Linked DNA regions of Solanum lycopersicum. Each later gene encodes a partner of the first gene's protein in a complex. Links are inferred from orthologs where the notes say so. Each region holds a gene or a part of one and is shown on either strand. Other genes may lie near its edges.

Region 1 (2,643 bases):
TTGTCACTTATTTTTCTTCTCTATTTCTATTACATACTCCTGACATCCAAAATACTTATAAATAACCAACTGATCAACAGAGAAAATGACTTCTCTAGCCTGTAACTGCTCACCCCCACGCCCCATCCACCCAAAAAGTCACCACCAAACATTAGTGGCAGAAAAAGATTACCTGCAAAAGCAATTTTCCATCAGCGCTTTTGTCCGTAACTCGTGTACTTACAGAGAAGGGGTCAGTGAAGTGCACAGCAATTGTCCTGCAAAGAAGTTAGATTCCAGACTAGTCTTACTGACAAGAATATGCATAAAAATGTGCCAAAAATTAGAAGTAGGAAATGAAAAGTGGGGAAGGTTAACCTTTCAAATATTTGGTTCCGTGACACCCCAAATTCAAGTTTCAAAGCTATTGTTCTCAGTCCCTCCACTAGGTTCTGTCTCTGCGGAGCAACTGCACCTGATAGGTAAAACAGGTGTTTAGGAAGTGAAAAAACAGATTTATGGAGCTGTGACTATGCTGTTTAAACCACCACTAGTTTATTAATCATCACCTGCAGGAGCACCTTTAGGAAGTTCATCACTGGTTGCACGCACAGGAATCCACAAAACAGAAGTTATGTTGCTTGCCCAATCAGGCAGCTCAATATTTCCATCATGAAGAGACATTTGTTTAACTTCGGGAGTAGCTGCGGAACTGTCATCATCTTTAAAACCTTCAGAATGGTCTAACTCATCTGTGCGCCCAATTACGTGCCTCTCAATTTCAATATTATGAGATTTTTCAATAGTCAACCCAGGACCAGTGTCTATGTGCAGAATTGCACCCTTGAGAGAGTAACTAATTGGCTTCACAATTATTCCAACCCACTGAGGTTCATTCATCAATAAAGCAGATGAAACAGCAGCAGTAAGATCAACCAGAGACCTTGGCTTGAACACCTTTCAAAAAAGTTCAAGAAATATAGAAGGCCTTTCAGATAATCATTTTGAGAAAGATCATTTTTCTTTTTGAGAAAGATTTCAGATAATCAGTCTGTATAATAAATTGTAGAGCATTAGCATACAAAAGAATCAATAAGAATATTTGAGGATAGAAACGAAGGATGGCACTCTTCCTTGTGGAATACACATCCCAGCCTTCACAATTCATTTTTTCGTCTCTCCACTTATATAAAAGATCCTTTACCTTTAAGATTGGCCTTGTTGGCTTCTCATAACTCATAAAATCATCACTATCTGCAGGAGCACCCTTTGAAAAGCTGTGAGATCTAAAACTTAGTAAACCAATTTTCCCTGTAAGAACCCCCAAAACATAAGAACCGGGTCTCTGCGGAGGTAAATTGATCATGATTGTATTCCTTCCAGGCTTTAATATCGTCTCACCGGATCTTTTTATTGCCTGAGAAAAAGCTCATAAAAGCTTATTGCACTAGAAGATGCAGTTTCTAAAAACTACTTGAGGAGATGCTATAGAGAGTAAACAGAATACCTTAATACCCTCATCGGTATTAGTTGTGGCTGTGAGAGTTAGACTAAGTGATTCTAGAGTAATGTCATCAGGAAATCCACTCCATACAACGACGGAGAGCGTACCAGGATCTCCATCACAAAGCTGCAGTGGTGGTCCAGGATTGCCAGAAAATGTTATCAGTGAGGACACATCTAGAGGCACGGTGTTCTCCATCTCACTATGAGCAAGACGAACCACTTCAGACTGAAATGCTTGACGTTCCTTGCTGGAGAACAATCCTTTATCCAATGAGAGCAATCTTACACATGAAGATAGATAGCCAGCTTGATCACCAAGTTCCTTTTGGCACTCAGCTAAATTGGGAAGGACCTCAGCTAAAAGATTCTGCCATCCTTCACCAGAATAAAGAGCACAAACCTTTTCATACAATTTTGCAGCAAGATCATAATTTCTGTTTTTATGGAACACAGCTGCAATTTCACCATCAAGTACAACTCCATGCCTCTTCCACCATGAACGATGATAGTTGTTGGCAGCTCCTTTTGACAGCTCCAGGTATTTTTGCTGAGATTAAAACTGATTAGAATTGCATAAAGAATGAAGAATATAAAACAAAACATGACTCTACATAAATACAAAGGATTATCTGCTGCTGAATAATGCATGTCAAGGTGTCCAATTCACAAGCAATTAAATAAAATATATGCAGAACTCCAATTAGTGGTATCATGCCTATTCACAAGTAGTATACAGAACTGTATTCCAAGAACCATTACTATTCAAAGGTACGCATATAGCCCTGAGAGAAGATAGGAACCTCAAATTCCTGGACAGAAGACAATGATTTCCACAGTTCTGCATCAGAAATTGTACTCCGCAAAGCATGTTCAGCAGCAACACAAATTTCTGAAAGCCTCAAAGGTCGGCTCATTGAGCTCTCAAAGTTTCCAGGAGAAGAGTTAGTTCTTGACATTGATATCGACTGTGATTTTGCTGGTGAAGACGTTGAACCTGAGCTGTCACCAGATGACGACAAAGTAAGATCTCAGCCTTTGAGGTTACAACAGAACATATGAAAATGTGAAGTCTCTTAGGGAAACTAACACCAATGTTCTAATCTAATTTTAGATTTTTTACTATATGGCTTCAGGAAAACATCCTTTAGTCAAAAGAGT
Region 2 (2,373 bases), on another chromosome or scaffold:
AAAGGAGGAAATAGGTAGAGTAAATGAACTGAGCTTACCAATTCAGAAAGATGTAACGATATGGTAGTTGTCTTTGTTGCTTCATTCTTTTCAGTTTCCAATCCAAGCATCCATGTATATGTAAATTTTGAGTGAAATGTTCTATGCTGAATCAGAAGTATGTTGGTGATGCTGGTATTTCTTCATGGTTTATTGTATTAGACACTGCTAACTAGATCTTGCTTGAAAGATAATCAAATTGCCTTTGTAAAGGCTGGTTGTACTTCAGCGTTTATTGTATTGCACATTACTTACTAGATCATGCCTGAAAGATGCTCAAATTACCTGTTTGAAGGCCAATACATGTATTGACCATATCTTCAGCATATAGTTAGGAGTTTACTGATAAGCTCATAAAATCAGAAGAATTCTAATTCCATCAGGAATAACCTTTTTTTTATCATAAGAACTATTCTTTTAATGTATTCCTGTAGCTAACATACTATTACTAATGGTGGTAAACTTGCAAAAGACTATTTGGAACTTCTTTCACTAGTCTCTCTAGAAAGAAGTAAATTTAATCTGGTTCGATCTTCATAGTTCCTTCAGATTTTACTATTATTAGTTTTGCTGTTTCAGAATGATCTTCCCGCATACTGATACTCTAGATTTTATGGTATCTGCAGTTGCTGGCTTATTTCTTTCCTCAGACTGATACTGGTTTTATGGTGTCTGCAATTGCTGACCTTATCATCAGAGTTCTTATTTTTGACAAGAACCTAATTTTCCTTTCCTTGATACATATGCTCCAGGTTGCATTCTTTTCCACTTCATTCCTCCCAACAGGATATAGTAAAACGTAATCATGGGAGAGATGATTGGTGGGCAGGGTCTGCTCCTTCAGGACCTTTTATTTACACACCTTTCAGCAAAGGGGAGCCAAGTCAAAGCAGTAAGCAGGAGCTGATTTGGGTTGTGGGTGAAGCAGTACAAGTGTTTGTTGAGTTGGCAAATCCTTGTGGTTTTGATTTGAAGGTCGATAGTATATATCTATCTGTAAATTCTGGGAATTTTGATGCTTTTCCCATCAGTGTTAGTCTGCCTCCTAATTCCTCCAAAGTGATTGCATTATCTGGAATTCCTACTGAAGTAGGTTCATTAAAAATTCCAGGATGCATTGTTCATTGTTTTGGTGTTATCACTGAACATTATTTTAAGGATGTGGATAATCTTCTAGTGGGAGCAGCTCAAGGACTTGTGCTGTCTGACCCTTTCCGCTGTTGTGGGTCACCAAAGTTGAAAAATGTTACGATTCCAAATATTTCGGTGGTCCCCCCGTTGCCATTGCTTATATCACGTGTTGTGGGTAGTGATGGTGCTATAATTTTATATGAAGGAGAGATTCGTGAAGTACAGATAAGTGTGGCCAATGCAGGTACAGTTCCGATAGAGCAAGCCCACATCTCATTATCTGGGAAAAATCAAGATTCAATCCAGTTAATTGTTTATGAAACCTTGAAGTCATCCCTTCCTTTGAAGCCCGGTGCTGAAGTGAGAATACCTGTCACTTTAAAGACTTGGCAGCTTGGACTTTTGGATCCGGATGCTGCTCCTAGTAAGAACATATCTGGAAGCACCGGGAGGCAAGTCAAGGATGGATGCAGTCCTGTGCTGCTGATCCACTATGCGGGTGAGCATTCAAATACTGATTGTTGGAGGTTAGGTGATAGACTAGGAAAATGAAACACTGTGAACTTGGGATGCTGCATCCTGGTTCTACGAACATATATTAGTGCAACAAGCTGGGAAAGTCCCTGCACTCTCTAGGGCCCCTCTTGTTTGTGTTGCTTTCCCATCAATTATGAGGGGTCCTTTCTTTTTTCTTTGTTTCCATATGACTCAGAATGTACACAATGCATGTGGATTTGGATATGGATGTTGATATGACTTTTTTTTAAAATTTTTTTGCATAACCACTTGTTTTTGCAATCTGAAAGAGTCAGTCAGGCTGGTGGTGAGCTTCTGCAACAACATGAGAATCATATTTGTTTAGAATGAAATTGAGAGAGATAAATGTTAGGGACCAAATCAAATATTGGCCATGAAATTGGGAACAAAGATAGAACTTACACCGTGGGTATACATGGAATATTTTTGTACAATACTAAAAGACAATGTAAAATGATGGAAGTGTAGGATGTCAATTAGTTGGTCACTAATCATGACATGATTACGTGCAGAGAGTTTTAGTTAAGAGAACATTCTGCAGCATGGGATGAGATTTTATTTGTTTTGACTTTCCGTTTTGTTTCTGAAATGTATTAGCCTCATGCTTTAGTCAGTCATTTGAGGTTCATGATTTAGACTGTTATTTACCTGCCAATTTTTTTGTTA

What was found. Proteins that work in one complex are often made in the same cells at the same time.
Region 2: trafficking protein particle complex II-specific subunit 130 homolog (region 1) and trafficking protein particle complex II-specific subunit 120 homolog share a complex: the UniProt entries of both Arabidopsis thaliana proteins name them as parts of the multisubunit TRAPP (transport protein particle) II complex. The link is inferred for Solanum lycopersicum from reciprocal best matches to the Arabidopsis thaliana genes CLUB and TRS120.

What each region holds. Positions count from the first base shown.
Region 1 is NC_090806.1:68,363,662-68,366,304, reverse strand, and holds part of trafficking protein particle complex II-specific subunit 130 homolog, read right to left. Parts: intron 2,485-2,643; coding exon 2,286-2,484; intron 2,033-2,285; coding exon 1,487-2,032; intron 1,397-1,486; coding exon 1,184-1,396; intron 937-1,183; coding exon 549-936; intron 455-548; coding exon 358-454; intron 258-357; coding exon 173-257; intron 1-172. UniProt on the Arabidopsis thaliana protein: Specific subunit of the TRAPP II complex, a highly conserved vesicle tethering complex that is required for the proper transport of proteins in post-Golgi trafficking pathways to the growing cell plate in mitotic active cells.
Region 2 is NC_090805.1:43,730,619-43,732,991, forward strand, and holds part of trafficking protein particle complex II-specific subunit 120 homolog, read left to right. Parts: intron 1-791; coding exon 792-1,669; intron 1,670-2,373. UniProt on the Arabidopsis thaliana protein: Specific subunit of the TRAPP II complex, a highly conserved vesicle tethering complex that is required for the proper transport of proteins in post-Golgi trafficking pathways to the growing cell plate in mitotic active cells.